Arabidopsis thaliana: one gene and its partners. The protein of the gene in region 4 purifies or fractionates together with the protein of the main gene of each other region. This does not show direct contact. Each region holds a gene or a part of one and is shown on either strand. Other genes may lie near its edges. The genes, in order: AT5G26360, RPT5B, PAF1 and AT4G19006.

Region 1 (6,208 bases), on a different chromosome or scaffold from region 4:
AGAGTCATACATGGCTTTCAAAGCAAAAACTATAGCCTACATAACAAGGTTCAACACAACCTGATTACAAAGAATTCTATAAAACAAAGATGGGCCTATTTCTTTGATCACACTGTGTCTTAGTAAAAACTAAGAGTCTCAAAGTCTGTAATCTGAAAAATCAAAGGAAGAAAAATTCAGGGAAACGAAACAAACACAAATGAGAAATCAAATAAATTAGCGAACCAAATTACAAAAACCTAAAACAGGAGGGAAAGCACTTACTCTTGTTATAAGAAGTAGACTTGACAAAAATAATCTTAAAAGGAAAAGATGATAACACTGAAGAGTTTGGAACAACTTTCTGACGGGAGATGGATTAGGTCGAGGGAGATTATACTATTAACAGAGGAAAAAAACCAAAAAAAACTCCATTTATTTTTAATTTGTTCATACCTGCGTTATTTAATTTGGCCGTTTAATACCTAAGTTAATTTTTATGTTCATTAAAAACCTTCATTTTTTTAAATTTTGGCAAAATCAGACATGCGAGTTAACGGGCGTTAACAATGGTAACGGAATCGCTAACCGCAGTTAAAACTTAACCATATAATGTTTACTATTTATATACAATTTGTTTTCTAATAGTTATGATCATATTATCTTAGTCCCAGTGGTTTTGAGAGAGATTATCATCCTCATCAGTTCGAGATCGATTCTCATCTCCAACAAATTTTTTGATTTTTTTTTTTAACAAAAGGCAAAATCTCAGTAATCCGAGTTACGATTTTGAATTTGATTCTGAGACTTTCTTTTGTTTAGCACCACGTTTGTTAGATCTGCTTCAATTCGATTTTGAGAACGAGCTAAATTAGATTCCTTCATCTCTTCAATTCATATTAAGGTTTTCAATTTCTAGATCGATTGATATGAATAAGTCAGCAAAGATTGCATATTCCCAGTTTTTGCTGATATTTTGCGTTGAAAAATCCAGACTTTGTTTTTCATTGTTAGTAACGTTGATAGCTTATAGAAAGATTATGTTACCATTAATTGCATCTGTTGATAACAAATAAGATCGATTATCACAAATCTATGTTGTATTAATTGGTCTAACATTTGGGACTTTTGGTTGGTGATTGATTTTGGTGCAATATCCTTTGGAGAAAGAAGTGAAGCAACACACAAGTGCAAAGCCTGTTGAAGTGAAAGAGATGGCTGACTTCGATTTTGCCTTTTTGTTAAAAAAAAAAGAAAAAAAATCAAAAAAAATTTTGGAGATGATAATCGATTTTGAATCGATGATGATGGTAATCTCTCTCATAACCACTCGACTAAAATAATATGTTCATAATTATTAGAAAACAAATTGTATATAAATAGTAAACATTATATGGTTAAGTTTTAACTACAGTTAGCGATTTCGTTACCACTGTTAACGCCCGTTAACTCGGATGTCTGATTTTGCTAAAATTAAAAAAAAAAAAAAGGTTTTCAATAAACATAAAAATTAACTTAAATATTAAACAGGTAAATTAAATAACGCATGTATTAAACGGACAAATTAAAAATAAATGAAGTATTTTTTGTATTTTTTCCCTCTTAACAAATTAGGTTAACAATTCTCCCGTTCTCACGCATCTTTACCTAATCTTCCGGATATAAAAATACTATTACTTTGTTTTGATCTTACAAAAAGGCCCAATGTGTGAAATATTAGTTAATGGGCCTTAGGGATGGGCTTCTCAACCTAAAATGAAAAGCACGAGAGAGGATGAAAGAAATCGGAGAAGGCAGTAGGATCTTCCACTTGCCGCTCTTTGAAAATCACTCGCCGTGTCTCTCTAAGCTTCTTCTTCACTGTGAAAACCTCAGATCGCAAATATGCACGCACCGGTACTCGTTCTGAGTGAGTATCTCCATCTTCCTCCAGATCTCATTTCCTCTAAATCGATATTAGTTTTTTGGTAACGAGATTAACTCCTTTTGTGAAAATGGTTTAGGCGATTCGTTGAAGCGTGAATCTGGAAGTAAGGTTCATCATGGTAATATCCAAGCTTCCAAGGTAAATTAATCCTTTTCTATGGCTCTTTTTCTCTGTGATGCTTGTTGCTTCTCTCCTCTGGTTTCAGATCATCGTTGTTTTTGTGGTACAGGCTGTTGCTGATATCATTCGTACAACATTGGGTCCTCGTTCTATGTTGAAGATGCTTCTTGATGCTGGTGGAGGTCTTTTTCTAAACACTTCCTCTTTTTTTTAGGCTTTTCATATCTCTGTATGTGGGTAGTAGATCTCTGTAGTGAGGGAATTAGGTTTAGTGTTTTTAGCTTTGGAAATGTTTTTCTTATGTACTCGTTCTTTGTTGAAGCTATTGTTCTTCAGTTTCGGTGTTAGTTTTATATAAACCCTAAATCAATATTTGGGTTCTGTTTGTCTTGTTTTTTTTTTTTTTCTGTCTACCTTTAATTTTTCTTAATCTGTGTGTTATCATCATATCTTACCCCTCTTTGTTTCTTGGATCTTTACAGGGATTGTTGTTACTAATGATGGGAATGCTATTCTTCGTGAGCTAGATGTCGCTCATCCTGCAGCTAAGGTTTTACTTCTGACCTTTCTCTATCTATTGTTCTTGTTAAAATTGTTTTACTTATCCATTTTTGACTCTGGTGATTGCAGTCAATGATTGAGTTGAGCCGTACGCAAGATGAAGAAGTTGGTGATGGGACAACGTCTGTTATTGTTCTAGGTACGAACATTCTTTTTTGCTAACAAATAGTTTGTCAATGGCTTGGTTTGGACCAGTTTTAATGTATTTTTAACTAAAGCACAAACAAATTACTTAAGGATATTATGGGTGCTGCAGTATTCAGTTCAACATCATGATCTCTGTTTATAATCATGGGTTCTTGAAGTCCTCTTTTTGTTTGCTTTTTGCCAACAGCTGGTGAAATGCTTCACGTTGCAGAAGCGTTTCTTGAGAAGAATTACCATCCCACAGTCATATGCCGAGGTATGCTGGCACTATGAATTGCTTATTGTTGTCATGTTACACATGTCGTTTTCATCTTAACGAATGCATTCTTCTCTGCAGCTTACATCAAGGCTCTCGAAGATTCTATTGCTGTTCTTGACAAAATTGCTATGTCAATTGATATCAATGACCGTAAGTCCATTTCTACCTTGTATTTGTTCATTTGGAGTTGACCTTCAGCTACTTTGGTTTCTGAAGTTAGTTTTTCTTTCACGTTTGTACTGATGGAAGAATGTGTGAGTTGCAGGTTCACAAGTGCTAGGATTAGTCAAGAGCTGCATAGGGACAAAGTTCACTAGCCAATTTGGAGATCTTATTGCGGTAAGTACCGTAATTACAGTAGCTTCTTACTTATGCATTACCAGTCCAGGTTTTATTGCTCCTTAATATATATTGGATATGTCTAGACAAGTAGGTATAGATACAGCATACATCTTGAAGTGACTTTTTAAATGTAAGATGAGTAACCATGAAATAACTTGAATTTGATGACTGCTTTCTTCAATTCTTTTGGTGGTTTTCGATTGTTGAAATACTTGTAGTATGAAGTTCTACAAGTTTGATTGTCGTTGGTACTCACATGATTTTATATGACTTTATGTACTGTTTTAGGATTTGGCTATTGATGCCACTACTACTGTTGGTGTTGATCTTGGACAAGGTTTGAGGGAGGTAGACATTAAAAAGTACATCAAGGTTGAGAAAGTTCCTGGTGGTCAGTTCGAGGACTCTGAGGTTCTTAAAGGAGTTATGTTTAACAAAGATGTTGTTGCTCCTGGTAAAATGAAAAGAAAGATTGTCAACCCACGGATTATTCTTCTTGACTGTCCTCTTGAGTACAAGAAAGGTGAAAATCAAACCAATGCTGAGTTGGTTAGAGAAGAGGACTGGGAAGTGTTGTTGAAGTTGGAAGAGGAATATATCGAGAACATTTGCGTTCAAATACTAAAGTTCAAGCCTGATTTGGTTATCACAGAGAAGGGTCTTAGTGACTTGGCCTGTCACTATTTCAGTAAAGCTGGGGTAAGTGCAATCCGAAGGTTGAGAAAAACTGACAACAACAGAATCGCCAAGGCTTGTGGAGCAGTAATTGTGAACAGGCCCGACGAACTGCAGGAGTCTGATATCGGTACTGGGGCTGGCTTGTTTGAGGTCAAGAAAATTGGAGATGATTTCTTTTCTTTCATTGTTGATTGCAAAGAACCCAAAGCCTGTACTGTACTCTTAAGGGGACCAAGTAAAGATTTCATCAATGAAGTGGAAAGAAATTTACAGGTTCGTTGGTGTTATTTACAAATCTGTATTTCTTAATCATTCATAACCTTATATGCCTGAAACATTGTCCCTACAGGATGCCATGTCTGTTGCAAGAAACATTATCAAAAACCCAAAGCTAGTTCCTGGTGGAGGAGCCACAGAGCTAACCGTTTCTGCCACATTAAAACAGAAGAGTGCAACAATTGAAGGCATAGAAAAGGTCGGTTTTGCTTTTATTACATTTTGTTTCCTTGCCTAAAGTTGTGTGATTTTGTGTCAAATCTATATCGAGCCTCTAAAACGAGTATGCTGTTCCCACGGTCGCTGATAAATGTTCTTTTGTTGGTCTGAATCTTATTTAAACAGTGGCCTTATGAAGCAGCTGCCATTGCTTTCGAGGCTATTCCACGTACCCTGGCTCAAAACTGTGGGGTTAACGTGATCCGTACTATGACTGCATTGCAAGGGAAGGTACTGTCCTGTACTAATGAACCCCAACTGCCATCTCTTGCCCGTTGTTTAAGTATATACCAACTCTTTTCTCAATGCTTCAATTGTCGGTTTTGGTGCAGCATGCAAATGGTGAAAACGCATGGACTGGTATTGACGGGAACACTGGTGCAATAGCTGATATGAAAGAGAGCAAGGTAAGGATTAAATCACATAACCTTGGTTGATTCTCACAACATGAAACCAATGTGACTCAGAGAGTTGACTAAAAGCTTTTAACAATTTTCCAGATATGGGATTCGTACAATGTGAAGGCGCAAACTTTCAAGACGGCTATAGAAGCAGCGTGTATGCTTCTAAGGATCGATGATATAGTGAGTGGAATCAAGAAGAAGCAAGCTCCTGGATCTGGACCTTCAAAGCCTACCATTGAGACAGAAGGAGATGCAGACAACGAACAAATTCTTCCCGACTAAGCGAAGGGAGAAACACTTTGGTCTCAGCATAACTCAATCTCTGTTTTCACTTGTTTAATGGTTGCACTCTTTTGGCTATTATCTTCCCTTGACATATCTTTTAATTCTGCAGTTTGACTTGGTGAGATAAGATTTTCGAGGGTGGTTTTTTTTTGTTTGTTTTGGAATATTAGCTTTTTTGAATTTTCGTAGTCACTTTGTTGGTTTTTAGAGTGCTAGTTGTTATTGTCTTTTTGAAATTTCTGGCACTAGAGACTTTTTTAGTTTGTGTCGTTTTTGTTTGAATATCATCAAGTATGTACTTCAACTGGATCTTTAGTTGACCGGTTAGTGTCAAATTGTGTTTTTGTTTGAACACCATTAATTGCATTTCAGACGTACGGATCTGTTATTTAGAGTTTTGGGTTATTATTCAGGTTGACTCGGTCCGAATTTATTTATACGGGTTGGTTTTGTTACTGAAAACCTTTAAACTTCGCTAGTTAAATGAAAATTGAAAGTTTAGTTATGTTGATCTTGATCTAATTTTACAGTAAACTAGAGGAAATACGGGCTACGCCCAAATTTATTTTAAAATTTTATTTCTGTTTTTTGTATTGTTTTTAGTTCATATATTTTTTTTTAAATTTGCTATATCTAAATAGAAAATTAGTTTGAATTACTTATATTTTTATATACTATCTATTTGTGTTATTTAAAATGAAACTGAATCACCTTTTATTTTTATTTTATTTTATTAAAGATGATTGTAATATAAATAGTTTTTCTTAACTCAAAATAAATGGGTTTGTTTTCACAAGACTTTTTTATTTTTTCATTTCTTTGAGGTTTTGTTTTGAATAATTATTGGATTTTCTTTTGTTGGGTTTAGTTCATTAGTTGGAATTATGTATAGTAAACGTATTAAACTCAATGGGTGGATAATTTGTAAAATTTATTTGTAAAAGCTAATTTTGTATTATTAGATTGGTAGCATATTGTTCAATTCTGCATATATACTAATCATTTATTAAA
Region 2 (4,925 bases), on a different chromosome or scaffold from region 4:
AAAAAACTATGTTGCCACAAAACGAGCTTATTTTTATTGGGTAACAAGAGAGCAAGGATCATTGGAATGGTTCAGTGAGGTCATGAACGAGGTAGCTGAGTATGATAGTGAGGGGATGATTGAACTACATAATTACTGCACTAGCGTGTATGAGGAAGGAGATGCGAGGTCAGCACTAATCACCATGTTGCAGTCATTGCACCACGCCAAGAGCGGCATTGACATCGTATCGGGCACTCGGGTCCGAACCCATTTCGCTCGACCCAATTGGCGTAGTGTCTTCAAGCACGTCGCAGTCAACCACGTCAATCAACGAGTTGGTATGTCACTAGCTATTACAACAATTCCATAGCTATTGTAGAATCTTTCTAGTAAGTAACTGATTTTCCTTTTTCTATTTTGTTGGTAGGGGTTTTCTACTGTGGTAATACATGCATCATAGGAGAGTTAAAGAGACTGGCTCAAGATTTCTCTAGGAAAACTACGACCAAGTTTGAGTTCCACAAGGAAAATTTCTAGTTTCGATTCTATTCATCCATCAGACCATCATTAGAAAATAATAAGCAAAATATGTCAAGCTGATATCTATTATAATTATAACCACACTTTGAAGGGGTTCTAGATTCAAAAGTTGAGACTACAACTTGAAGTTTTCTATAATGTAAAGAGGAGAAAGAAGAGTGTACATAAAAGAGGACTTAGGCGTAGTAATTCAAGCTTGCTTTCTTCTTGGCTTGTACTTGAATTATACCTTCATTGAAATCCTCATGGTTCACCTGCACACACATTTACCATTTCCTCCATATCATCCACATCCTAAAGTTACAACCACTAAGACGAAAGATATATGCATACCTCAGTTGCATCCCGGCGCAGGGCAAGCATACCCGCTTCAACACACACTGCTTTGAGTTGAGCTCCATTGAAATCATCCGTTGACCGAGCAAGCTCTTCAAAATTGACGTCTGCATTCACATTCATTTTCCTTGAATGTATCTGTAACCCCATCGCCAACATTATGCAAAAACAAAACAGTACCCAAGATAAGTTATCCGCGGAATACATAGAAAATCACAGCAAGACTTGTCTAAGTGCATGAAGCTCTCTAATTTTAGCTTTAAAACGACATAGAAATAAAGAAAGAAAAAAGAAAAGATGCAGTAAAGGATACAGAACCTGTAAGATCCTGCCTCTAGCTTCTTCAGTGGGGTGCGGAAACTCGATTTTACGATCCAAACGACCAGAACGCATAAGGGCAGGATCTAGTATATCAGCACGATTTGTCGCTGCAATAACCTAAGTTTGTAAAATTATGAGTTTTTCATGCCTTTCACTAAATAAATAGACATTTGCAGGGGTAATATGAGGGGTAACAACCTTAATGCGATCATCGCTGCTGAATCCATCAAGCTGGTTGAGCAGCTCCAACATTGTCCTTTGTACCTCACGGTCTCCACTAACTTCGCTGTAAGCCAATTAAAAGTCAGCATTAGTCATCAGAAAGAAAATAAAATAGTTATGACATGACTCTAGATAGAGTACCTATCAAAACGCTTTGTCCCTATTGCGTCAATCTCATCTATGAATATAATACAAGGGGATTTCTCTTTTGCAAGCAGGAAAGCATCACGGACAAGTTTTGCTCCATCTCCGATGAACATCTATACATAAGTCTAAAAAAAGTTACTTTCCGTTTGGTTCAAAAAATATCACAGGAACAAGATCAAAATCAGTTACGTTTACTCTAGTTTTCATACCTGAACAAGTTGTGGCCCTGCTAGTTTGAGGAAAGTTGCATTTGTCTGTGCTGCACAAGCTCGGGCCATCAACGTCTTTCCGGTTCCAGGAGGACCATACAAGAGTACACCTTTTGGTGGACGGATACCCAACTTTTCGAACTGCTCTTTATGAGTCATTGGCAACACAATGGCTTCAACAAGTTCTTGTATCTGTTTAATTACAAAAACAGGAGAGTCACCAACATCAAATATTGTACCAGAGATACTAAAAACTAAGGAAACATGAAACAGGAGAGTCATCAACTAGCCTGTTTTTCTAGTCCCCCTATATCATTGTAGTCTTCAGTAGGTTTTTCGTCGACCTCCATTGCTTTTACTCTTGAATCATACTCAGAAGGTAAAGTATCCAGAATCAAGTAACTATCTTTGTTAACTCCAACTAAGTCCCCAGGCTTCAATGTATCTGGATCAACAAGTCCAACAACAGGGAGGAAGATGGTCTGAAAAGTATAATTAACCCATGAGATCATTATACAAACACTACACTAGTAGTCAGAGTTTGTTCCCCACTAGTTCTGAAAATCTCTCTAACGGTGATATAAGAGTCTAAAACTTCACCTGACGAGTTGATGTTTTTAGAACGACACACTTTCCCTTCCTCTGAGAGTCCAGATCGATATTCGCTCCATCTTCCTCTGCATCATCCTCTGGACTCATCTCAAGAATCTAGAAAGCACGGATAATAGATCAAATCCTAATTCCATCATTACACAAAAAAAAATTTGATGGTAAAATGTCTGAACTACTGTGGCAAAGATTCAAGGAATTCATCAGGCTAACACTACTAGTAATCAAAAGCATAGTACAATTGTGTCACTCAACAAAAAGGAATGTTATACATACCAAAACCAAAAGCCCCATATAAGGAATGTGAAACACCCCAAGAGAAGAGTCAGTGAAAGTACCTCAACGATATTGCCAACTAAGTAAGGAAGCTGTTTGTTAAGCTTAATCTTCTCCTGGTTCTCCTTTATTTTCTCCTTCACTGATTCCAAATCAAGGTTTGTCCTCTGCGATTCTTCCTACAACAAATCAACGTATTTGAGAGAAAAAGACATCAAAAAATTCTGGTGAATTTCATCCAATGAGCAAAAGACCAGTAAATATAAATGTCTTCTAATCATATTCTATAATTATCTAACTATAAAAACAAGTACTTTGAGTGAATTTCGATATCTTTGACTGATAAAAAGTGTGATATGAAACAAGAGTTATCGTTGCTCTCAGACATCATCCATCTTCTTCAAAACTAATCAAAGTGTCGCTAATCAAATTAAGGTAATAGTGAGCTTGGAATGAAGAAATATACTAGTTCCAAGTAGCCAGCAGATTAAAAATATAGAGAGAAGAGAGAGAGGGTGGTGACCTTGAGGATGCGAATCTCGTTGGCTAAGAGACGAGAAGCTCTACCGATGTCATCAGTAGTCATGGAAGCTAGTTGGTCTCCCTCGAAGCTCGTATCCTCCGCCATCGCCGTTGCCATCTCCCTTAGCAGCCTGAGTTAATCACTGTAAGAGTCTACGAGAGATCTCAGAAGACATAAATAGGAAACAGAGTTTGGCTTTTGGGCGAAGAAACAGCTTTAATTTAATAACACATGTATTGTATTAAATATTATCACAGTCAATACCCAACAACAAATCCGATGTCGTCCAGCGGTTAGGATATCTGGCTTTCACCCAGGAGACCCGGGTTCGATTCCCGGCATCGGAGCGTTTTTGGTTTTGTATCCTTTTTATTTTTTTCACAATGTATCTTATATCTATTTTAAAATCAAGTTATTGCTAAGCAATCTGGTCAAATTGATGATGTAGTTTTCTTAAAAGCTGACCAAAAAAGAAGTGAAGCCAAATGGAAACAAGTAAGAAACTGTTCAATATTCAAATCGGAAGGGTGAAGAAGAGAGTTGAAGATTGTATTTACTATTGCTAACGAACAAACACATTACAATTTTATCATAATATTTCAAGATCCTTTAAGTATGATTCTCCTAATCGCATGTTCACATTTACCAAGTGATTTGAAACAAGGCAGTCTGCGGCCAATGTGATTTTGGTCAGTCTATTTGTTCTTCTCCATGACGCCTGCAAATGAGTAGAGTTCAAGCAAAATACAAATCATTGTAAATACAAGCGTGCGTTCTAATGATTTGCAGGTAAGTTAGATGCATTTGTATTTCTTCATCAGAGATTTCCATGAATAAGATGGATTCATGCCTAGAGTAGCAATGGAGAGTTACGCGTGTCACTTACAGTATGATTTAGGCCAAGAAAACTTAAGACTAGACTCATACTACGCTTTTAATCCCTGCATTCTTGTCGAATTCCTCTGAAGGAACCACGTCCGCAATAATCTTTTCTTGACCGCGCCAAAGAATCTGCCAATGATTATGAGACCATCTTTAAAGCTTTAACTTGGAAAAGTATGAAAACAAATTCATCATTACGCACAGGCAAACATCAGGAAAAGGTAGAAGAGAGGGAAACTTGACTGGAAAGGTTACTTTGCTTGGTGACGATATGTAACCTTTAATCTTTTAGTATGTGCATATGAAAAGCAACATCAAAAAATTACAGTGCCCAAACTTACCCTGTCAATGACTCCAAATTCTTTAGCTTTTGGTGCATCCATGTAATATGGCCTTCTCATTACGTTAGCTACAGTCTCCACGGACTATATGACATATAAGAATGTTTTAATCAGCTATCAAATTTCTCCACAAAGTTATGAAAATATTTCGCACTCACATTCCCAGTATGCTTTGATAGTAGTTCCACAAGTATATCCCTATTTGTAATGACCTGCAATTGCATAACAGGAATGAGGAAGATGAAGTAATCAAACTCAGATTCTTCACCTAATTAGGTCATGAAATTCTGAACCAAATGCTTAAGTGAGAAATTTCTGTCCAAATTATCAGAGATATAATATAGGAAAGTAGGTAGAAGCAAAGCAGAAAGAGAAAATCTCGATCAAATTTAAATTTCCAGAATATTAAGTGTGTAGAGCGATTCATCAAACCTCTTTGGCCCGAATCAGGACATCACTGGCAGGCATCAACCCAGAAGAAGGTACACGTGGTTGCTGAATCATCGCTGTGACATAATGAATCAAACGTATGAGAGG
Region 3 (4,403 bases), on a different chromosome or scaffold from region 4:
GACACCTGAACCCGTAAAAGATCTTGTGTTTTCCAATTGCCTTAAACGATTTGACGTAGTTTCGTATGTTTAATTCACAATGTCTTTTGACACCGAAAACATGACTGTTCGTTGTTAATTCAATTTTATATGATCCACTAGCTCTTAGATGCAATGATAAACTCTTGATCATTTTTTTTTCCTTTGATGGTTAATTTGGTGTATATACGAGAACGGATGCTGGATAAAGCAAATGATTAAGAGAGACGGCAAAGTCAATGGGTCTGGTTTACATGGTTCCCATTATCCAAAGTCTTTCGTAGTCGTCACCATGTAGGGGGCCACTTATGTTTTCTATTAGACTAAATGACGTCGAGCTAATGATTTTATCATAATTTACGATTTAACATTAAATTCTGGAGTTCTTTGGGTTAACAAATTTTAGATTAACCTTCGAAGGAAACTTGAGGCTGGTCAATTTTTTTGTTAAAACCCTCTGCAGGGCAGGCCTAACAAGGCTGGCTTGGCCTGCTTGACAGCCCTAGTTAGATGACACTACACACTTTTTTAGCAAGGAATTGCAGAACCAAAGAGATAGGAAGTCGTGAACAGATTTCAGATTTAAACCAAAAGACCAGAATACGAGAAAGTCTTGATGGCAGCTATTGAGTTTAAATGACGAAATGGTTTCAACTTCTCAAGCATATAATCTAAACCCGCAGCCATTTTGCAAAGTAAAAATCCAACTAACATCGAAATAAAATAGTTCCAGCGTTACACACACAAGCCTTACATTTCCATTGGAGCCACGTCTTGGTCACCTGCAACACCACCACCTCGTTCTGCTGGTGCAGCCTCGGCAGCTTCGGCCTCACCCTCACCAGCCTCGCCTTCTCCTTCCTCTTCCTCTGGCACTTTCTCAAATGTGTCGATCACTTTCTGTATTGCTTCCTGGTCCAGGAAGTGGAACGGTTCATCGACTCCTAGAATAGCGACTGTGCAGAGAGAACTCTTCAGTGTTTCCCCTTGCAATGTCTCCCTAACAGCCAAAATAGCATCTTTGATCAGATCTTCTCTAGAAGAATCCCCAAAGCTCTCAAACCTGCGTTCCAGATAGGTCTTTGCTGCTTGGGAACGGGATCCAATAGCAAAAGCTTGGTACTCGAAGTAGTTTCCGCTGGGACAGTTGTAGTAAAGGTGGGCTCCAGACTCATCCAATCCACCTACCAGCAAACCAACACCATAGGGTCGTTTCCATGATCGTTGGGTACAGACCTGTTCATAAAGGCAAACATACACATAAATATTTCCTTTTCCAGATCAAGAAATATAACAAAAAAAACCCTTGGTAAAGACAAGAAATATGACAATAATGTAACTTAAGTTGGACCTGTCAAGTAAAATCTCTCCTACAAAAGAGTAAACCAACTAATAAAGTTTGACAATGAGGAAATACAAGACCCTTCCTTTTATAAACACATATAATATATGGGAGCTCTTCCCAATGGCTTTGAAAAGTATTTATGCAGATGTGGATAAAACAGCTAACTTAAGAAACCATTAGATAGGTGGAAAAACAAAGTGAGAAGTAGCACATAATTACAGAAAAGATGTCGAACAAGCACCTAGCAGGAGTAATTGACTGGTAAGATAAGTGCATAGTGGTGAGAACGATGCAAAACAAAGAGCGGAATTCACTTCTTAGAGGTACTGAAAATCAATAACTCCAAATAAAAACTGCAGAAACAAGCAAAAGCACCAGAAGAAACACAAATCTCTTTCTTTTAGAATCCTATTGTTAAGCTCTTAGTTATGGTTAAACTTTTAAATACAAGATTATGCAGCAGTAACAACAAACATGCAAACAATTTCACTAAACAAGATTCAAGTTTCTGCTATGATAAATTAAGAAAACTCTTATTTAATGCAATTTAGAATCCTAATCAGCTCAGATCAAACCCTAAGCACAAAGTCAAGAAGCTAATGGCTAAATTTGAGCTCAGTGATTCACAGTGTAATCGAATTCCAAATTCCTCAAATTTCAATTAACAATTACAACACACTTATCACCGAATCACACAAAACCAAGCGTAATCGATTCCAAATTCCACCAAATCTCAATCAACAAACTACAAAAGCCTAACCTGAGCTTTATCAGCAAGATGAACAACGAGACGACCAACAGGAAGAGGAGACTCATAAGTAAAAGAGTGATTAATCGATTCCGATCTCATATACCGAGACAATACACGACCGTCGGCTGTGAGACCAGCGATTGCAACACCGATATGGTCATCGACTTTAAAGATCTTCCTCTGATGCGAAGAAAGCTCCGATTGAGCTTTGTTAACACAAGCGAGAACGACATGAGAACGAGATCTGAGTCCAATTGCTGCAGATCCTTGCTTCACTGCTTCCATGGCGTATTCCACTTGGAATAAACGACCTGTTGGACTCCATGTCGTAACATCTGTGTCGTATTGGTTTCTGAACATCTTTGCTTCTTCGTCTCGCTTTCTTCTTCACTCGTCGTCGAAAGGGTTTATAGAGACGAAAGTTCAGAAACAAAACTTTTCTTTTCCTTCAAGCCATGGATGCTCTCGATCTCTCTCTCGATTTAATGGGCTTCTATTAAATTCTGGGCTTTGTATTGGCTCGGTATCTAGCTTATTGGGCTAAGACTTTAGGCATATGTTTTATACAGACTTTAGGCCTATGTTTTTATACAGGATAATCCTTGTATATTCTTTTTTTTTTTTTTGATGAAATGTGAAATTGTTTAAGAATCTTTAAATATGTACAAAAGAGTTTGGTCAATAGTTCTCAGTAAAAAAAAAAACATTAGACAAAACAGAGCACACTAGCTTGAATATTCTTGTATATTATTTGAAACTAAATAAAAATGAATTAATTTTATAAATATAAAACTTTGCGATTTTGTTATTAGTAATCATATAATTTGAATTGTTACAAAAAAAAAGTCTCTGTGATTGATCCTATTTAAAATTTTAGAACATTTATCATTTTTAAAATTGATATCTTAAAATTAATTTATTGTATATTTCTAAACTTTTATGACAGCTGAAAAGTCATACATTTTTAGTTTTGACGAATATAGTGATGAAGTAGATCATAACATGTGCTTGTACAACACTAATAGAATTTTGATTTTTAAATATTTATTTAAATTTGAATTATTATTTGTTTTATAATATAGTTTTAATCATTTTATACATAATATAGAAGTGGATTGGTAACGATTGTTATTTTCGACTATTATTATCAACTGTATGATAATTAATCGTTGAGTCTTTAAGAATATCGCGAAAGTTCATATTGTCTCATACAAGAAGATTAACAAAAGCATATTCAGTTTAGCTCAAGTTCCTTAAACTGGAATCACAGATGACTAGGGGATTGAATTTTGTAGCATCGATAAAAACTTAACTACTCAGATTTTTGTTGTAGCCACAAAATCAATCACCCAATGAGATCAAGTTCCTTTACCTCCACAAACAAAGCTCTACAACTAAGCTTTTGTATTGTTATAACGTAGTTTCTAGTCTATGTATGTTAGATCAAGTAAATAAATTCAGCACTTTTGTGGTTTTATCTCCCTAAGATCAGTTACTAGTTCATGACGCTAACTAGCTACATGCAATAAGAACAAACCTAGAACGAAAAACTTCTAAAAACAAGCTATTTTAAAATCGTCACTTACCTTATTCAATTATGAAATCTCCTTTGATGAAACTTTTAAACCCAACTAACAAACTAGTAATAATAATAAAAAATTAATTTAACTATTAAATCTAATTTGCCACTAAAAGAAAATTATGTATCGGTTTGAGTTTATTAGAAAAAATGAGAGTTTAGATTTTATGATTAAACGAGGTTAAATATCGGTTTGGGTTTACAAAATACGATTAGGGTTTAGATTTTATGATTATACGATGTTAAATATTAGTTTGGGCTTATAAACATATTTAGATTTTACAATTAAACTAGGTTAAATGTCGGTTTGGGTTTAGAAAATACGATTATGGTTTGTTTTTTAACGATTAAATAAGTCTAAATGGCGGTTTGGGTTTATAAAGGAGAATTAGGGCTTAGATTTGGTAATTAAACGAGATTATATATCGGTTTGGATTTACAAAAAAGTGGGGTTTTAATGATTTATTTTAATTATTTTATTTTGATAATATTAATTGTTTTAAGTTTTTTTAATCAAATAACATGGCAAATATTGATTTGTTATTAAAGAGGGGGTGAATAAATTAGGTTCACCCCCTAGAAGTGAACCCAAGAATTATTCTTTATTTGATATTTGATGATTTGTTTTCAAAATTTTAATTTATTTATTATATAGATTAGTTAAAGTTAGCATATACTATGATTTATAACGTTTTTATATGTTTTCACTT
Region 4 (4,574 bases):
GCTCCTTTGAGTAGGAAGTTCATTGAAGATTTCCTTCAGACTCTTCCTCATGTCGATTTGATTCAGGTCTCTGAATTTTACTTTTGGATGTCGTTTTAGAAAACTGAATTAAATGTTATTCATTCATAAACTCAATAAGAAGTAGAATCTACATTTTTTAGAAAAATTTGACATCTCTTCCCAAAAGAAACAACTAAAATTGATTTAACGAGGCCATGACTTTTTGACTCACACTATTATTTTCTTTACATTTAGCTGAAAGTGTGTATAAAATGGATCACATTTTGTTGCAGGGATATGGAATGACTGAATCAACTGCAGTTGGAACACGGGGCTTCAACTCGGAAAAGCTTAGTAGGTATTCTTCTGTGGGACTACTGGCTCCTAATATGCAAGCCAAGGTAGTAGATTGGAGCTCTGGTTCTTTCCTTCCACCAGGAAACCGAGGAGAGCTCTGGATACAAGGTCCCGGTGTCATGAAAGGTAGATAGATTCTTCCTACTGTACTTCTTTACCAAAATAGTTGAGATTTTCCTTCTCAGTTCATGAATAAAGTCTTTTGTCAATGGTTCAAATCACTGAGAAACACTTGCATCCTAATAAATGTAAATATAGATTGGATCTTCCAACTTTCGTGGGGCTTATTTGGTGCTTGTGTTGATAGATTAGGCTTATTATCTTGTTCTTGATTTTGTGCTACATATTTTTATGGAACAGTTTTAATTTTACTTGGAGAGAATCTGAACACCGTTCATTTGTCTGTCAGGATACTTGAATAACCCAAAAGCAACTCAGATGAGTATAGTTGAAGATAGTTGGCTACGTACTGGGGATATTGCTTATTTTGATGAAGATGGTTACTTGTTTATTGTTGACCGTATTAAGGAGATTATAAAGTACAAAGGCTTTCAGGTAAAGGAACAGCAGTTTCTCTTTCAGCCAACTCTAAATTAGGAAATATTAATTCTTTGCATTTATGGTTTTTGCAGATCGCTCCAGCAGATTTGGAGGCTGTTCTTGTTTCACATCCCTTGATTATCGACGCTGCAGTAACAGCGTAAGTTCGAAAAAACAAATCTTGATCATTTACTAAACTAGTTTAATAAGTGAAAGATACTGCAAATCCAGTTTTGGAGAATTCGACAGAGTCTGTTACTCTACTGAAAGTATCCAAACTTTCCATTTCAGTGCCCCAAATGAAGAATGTGGAGAGATTCCGGTAGCATTCGTTGTCCGGAGACAAGAAACAACACTTTCAGAAGAAGATGTAATAAGCTATGTAGCTTCTCAGGTTAGGTTCCCACTAATTCAAAATGGCTTTTCCCATTTCAAAACACTGATCATTAATGTAATACATTATTATACATTACGTGTTCTAGGTTGCACCCTACAGGAAGGTGAGGAAAGTGGTGATGGTCAACTCTATACCAAAATCTCCAACTGGGAAGATATTGAGAAAGGAACTAAAGAGAATTCTTACAAACTCTGTTTCTTCAAGACTATGATTCTTTCTTCATTTGTTTGGTAATAAGTAGCAGACAGAGAGATCCACTAATATAGCCTTCATAACTCAATTCATTGGTTTTGTAGCATCAAAAGAAATAAACAGACACATTCTTTGATTCTCAGTGAATAAAGCATTGTAACCCAATACGGAAACAAAAATTCTTTCTGAGCCCAAAATGTAATTTTAGCCTTAGTATTTTATTTACATAAAAGTCCTTTTAATCGTTGGCTATTGCATTTATCGCCCAATACTTGTCTTTGAGCTCAAGAAATATAGTTTACTAAAAGGCTGGGTTTTTCTGGATTTCTTACTCCCAAACCGATACAAGATCGAAGCTTTGCCTTCTGTTTCTTCGAAAATCTACCATGGCTGCTCTACAATACCTTGAATCGCAGAAAAATGCGCACCCAGAGCTTGGTGAGTGGTACAATTCGCTCGCAGATCTGTACCAGAAGAAGCTCTGGCATCAGCTCACTCTTAAGCTCGAGCAGTTCATCGCTCTCTCTGTCTTTCAGGTCAATCTCTTGAATTTTCATCGTTTCGTAGTTCTTCTGTGTGATTAGGGTTCATAGATCTCGAGAAAGTTAATAGGAGTCGTCATGTTAGACTTGGGTTTATAGAGAGATCTGAAGGATTCGTTCCGACTCTTAGGTGATTTTTCAGATTCATTGAAAAGCTTTGTATTGGTGAATTATCGCACTTCTGTGACCAAAGCTTTCGAATATTTTAGCTCAGAGATACCCAAAAACTCAGCTTTACAAGGTTTACAGATTTGTTAATGACGTGTTTCCCCCTGTTTATGTTCATAATCTTTGCAGGCTGGAGATGCTTTAATACAGCTTTACAACAATTTCATCACTGACTTTGAGACGAGGATCAATCTTCTGAAGCTTGCGCATTTCGCTGTTGTAGTCTCCCGACAGTATCCTGAGAAAGAAGCTGCAGTTAGTTATCTTGAAGGAGTGATTGAGAAGCTTAAAGCTACTAAAGAGTCAAGGATAAATGAACCAATTAGCTATATAGAAACACAAATAGCTTTGTTCAAGCTTGAGCAAGGTGACCAGAAGGAGTGCAAGAAAATCTTGGACGATGGAAAAAGCCTGCTTGATAGTATGACTGACATTGATCCATCAGTTTATGCCAACTTCTTTTGGGTCTCTTCTCAGTACCATAAAGTCCGTCAAGAGTTCTCTGAGTTCTATAAAAATGCTCTTCTTTACCTCGCTTATACGTCTGTGGACTCACTCTCGGAATCATTTAAGCTGGTACGTCCCTCTGAATGTTCTAATCATTCATATATGATATATGTAGTCGTTACGTTACCAAATGGTCTTTTAGCAATTTTGGATAAGTATTAGCACTCTATGAAAGGAAACTTACAGTGAAAAATGCTTTATCTCTGTAAATTGCTTTGTGTTCCAATCAAAATGTTAATATCATATACTTTCGTTTCTTTCAGGATTTGGCTTTTGATTTGTCGCTTTCAGCTCTACTTGGGGAGAATATCTATAACTTTGGGGAACTGTTAGCCCATCCAATTGTAAGTTTCCCTTCATCCTCCAAATTAGCAAACCACAGATTTATTCACCATTATAGATAAAAGAACACTGACATGTTATATATGTTATGGCAGTTGAAAAGTCTGCTTGGAACAAATGTGGAATGGCTTTACCACATTCTACAAGCATTCAACCACGGAGATTTAGTTCAGTACCAAGAACTCTGTCGTGTGCACAATGCATCGTTGAGTGCTCAACCAGCACTGGTTGAGAATGAGAAGAAACTATTAGAGAAGATCAACATTCTCTGCCTTATTGAGATCATTTTCAGGTATTCATTCTCTGTAGGAGTCATCTTATACCCATATACAGATGAAAACAAACTTAGTACTTAACTTGTATATAACATCTTTGCCACAGCCGACCTGCTGAAGATAGGACCATACCTTTGAGTGTCATTGCCGAGCGTACTAAACTTTCAATCGAAGATGTTGAGCACCTTCTCATGAAGAGCTTATCGGTGAGTACCTTTTTCTTTCCTCTCTCTTTCTCTCTATCTCATTCTATCAGTAACATTAAAAATCTAAAGAAGATTGGCAAGACGCAGACTCGAAATCTTCTTGAATGTGTGATTCTGTATTGGTTGATTGTGAAAACTGAGGAGAATGAGTTATTGCAGGTGCACTTGATAGAGGGAATACTAGATCAGGTGAATGGAACAGTTTACGTCTCATGGGCGCAACCGAGGGTGTTAGGAATACCGCAGATCAAGTCATTGAGGGATCAGCTAGACAGCTGGGTCGATAAGGTTCACACCACATTGTTATCTGTTGAGGCCGAGACACCTGATCTTGTTGCAGCTTAAACTCTTCTTTCCTCTTTTTTCCTTCACTGTTCGTTTAAGCTACAGATTGTAACATTCTCTGAGGATTAAATGCAACTTCCTTTTAAGTTTTTAGGTATTACAGTTATACTTTTGAACTTTGTTCTCCACAGACACATGAATCTATCCTATTAAGTTGAGTTTCATCGTTAGTGTTGCCTTTAAGGCTTAAGCCTATTTGCATAACAAATGGTCCAACTTTTGTTATTAGACGTGTGAAAAACTCATAAATCTCAAATAGTGGAATGAATCCAAATTGTCAACTTCTGAAATGAAAAGTGTAAGGGTAAAATAGTCAAAACATATTAAACCCCAATTATCACCATCGTTTCGTTTCAATCAAAATTTTCCGATTTTGAGATTTTGAAACAGAGCAGTCAAGTCTCAAAGACTCCAGCTCATCTGTCTGCTTCGTAAGCTGCTCGCTCTCTAAATGTTTTGTCTTCTGGGGAATAGATTTTAGGGATCATCGGTAGATGCTGTTGGATTGACATAATCCAGATCTGATTTCTTCTACAAAAACATAGCTTTCTTCTCTGGGAACAATAGATTTTGATTGTTGTTTCTGGGTTTTAGATTTCTAATGTTGGGGTTTTGGTGATTCGATTTCTCAATAATGCTTCAAAATCGAAAATTGAATCGGTTAGAGCTATTTTGGGAATCTCTTTGCGTTAATTCGAATTAG

What was found.
Region 1: the proteins of AT4G19006 (region 4) and AT5G26360 fractionate together in Arabidopsis thaliana (co-fractionation; one large-scale study listed by BioGRID). This does not show direct contact.
Region 2: the proteins of AT4G19006 (region 4) and RPT5B fractionate together in Arabidopsis thaliana (co-fractionation; one large-scale study listed by BioGRID). This does not show direct contact.
Region 3: the proteins of AT4G19006 (region 4) and PAF1 fractionate together in Arabidopsis thaliana (co-fractionation; one large-scale study listed by BioGRID). This does not show direct contact.

Annotation. Positions count from the first base shown.
Region 1 is NC_003076.8:9,254,547-9,260,754, reverse strand, and holds AT5G26360 (TCP-1/cpn60 chaperonin family protein), read left to right. Parts: upstream 1-1,726; 5' UTR 1,727-1,863; coding exon 1,864-1,888; intron 1,889-1,982; coding exon 1,983-2,044; intron 2,045-2,135; coding exon 2,136-2,208; intron 2,209-2,508; coding exon 2,509-2,576; intron 2,577-2,656; coding exon 2,657-2,726; intron 2,727-2,921; coding exon 2,922-2,990; intron 2,991-3,071; coding exon 3,072-3,143; intron 3,144-3,258; coding exon 3,259-3,332; intron 3,333-3,623; coding exon 3,624-4,286; intron 4,287-4,362; coding exon 4,363-4,488; intron 4,489-4,634; coding exon 4,635-4,739; intron 4,740-4,840; coding exon 4,841-4,915; intron 4,916-5,008; coding exon 5,009-5,194; 3' UTR 5,195-5,702; downstream 5,703-6,208. UniProt on the Arabidopsis thaliana protein: Molecular chaperone; assists the folding of proteins upon ATP hydrolysis. Known to play a role, in vitro, in the folding of actin and tubulin.
Region 2 is NC_003070.9:2,935,977-2,940,901, forward strand, and holds RPT5B (26S proteasome AAA-ATPase subunit RPT5B), read right to left. Parts: upstream 3,388-4,925; 5' UTR 3,283-3,387; coding exon 3,166-3,282; intron 2,822-3,165; coding exon 2,705-2,821; intron 2,466-2,704; coding exon 2,358-2,465; intron 2,240-2,357; coding exon 2,048-2,239; intron 1,950-2,047; coding exon 1,758-1,949; intron 1,662-1,757; coding exon 1,543-1,661; intron 1,466-1,542; coding exon 1,378-1,465; intron 1,297-1,377; coding exon 1,177-1,296; intron 997-1,176; coding exon 856-996; intron 777-855; coding exon 699-776; 3' UTR 552-698; downstream 1-551. Other genes in the region: RBOHB (respiratory burst oxidase-like protein), read left to right, coding at 1-320, 410-519; AT1G09130 (ATP-dependent caseinolytic (Clp) protease/crotonase family protein), read right to left, coding at 3,755-3,883, 4,096-4,176, 4,389-4,472, 4,547-4,600, 4,821-4,894. UniProt on the Arabidopsis thaliana protein: The 26S proteasome is involved in the ATP-dependent degradation of ubiquitinated proteins. The regulatory (or ATPase) complex confers ATP dependency and substrate specificity to the 26S complex.
Region 3 is NC_003076.8:17,158,502-17,162,904, forward strand, and holds PAF1 (proteasome alpha subunit F1), read right to left. Parts: upstream 2,656-4,403; 5' UTR 2,475-2,655; coding exon 2,124-2,474; intron 1,255-2,123; coding exon 769-1,254; 3' UTR 543-768; downstream 1-542.
Region 4 is NC_003075.7:10,408,646-10,413,219, reverse strand, and holds AT4G19006 (Proteasome component (PCI) domain protein), read left to right. Parts: upstream 1-1,752; 5' UTR 1,753-1,872; coding exon 1,873-2,022; intron 2,023-2,325; coding exon 2,326-2,772; intron 2,773-2,966; coding exon 2,967-3,047; intron 3,048-3,140; coding exon 3,141-3,337; intron 3,338-3,426; coding exon 3,427-3,871; 3' UTR 3,872-4,072; downstream 4,073-4,574. Other genes in the region: AT4G19010 (AMP-dependent synthetase and ligase family protein), read left to right, coding at 1-66, 294-483, 767-912, 990-1,057, 1,189-1,291, 1,380-1,505. UniProt on the Arabidopsis thaliana protein: Acts as a regulatory subunit of the 26S proteasome which is involved in the ATP-dependent degradation of ubiquitinated proteins.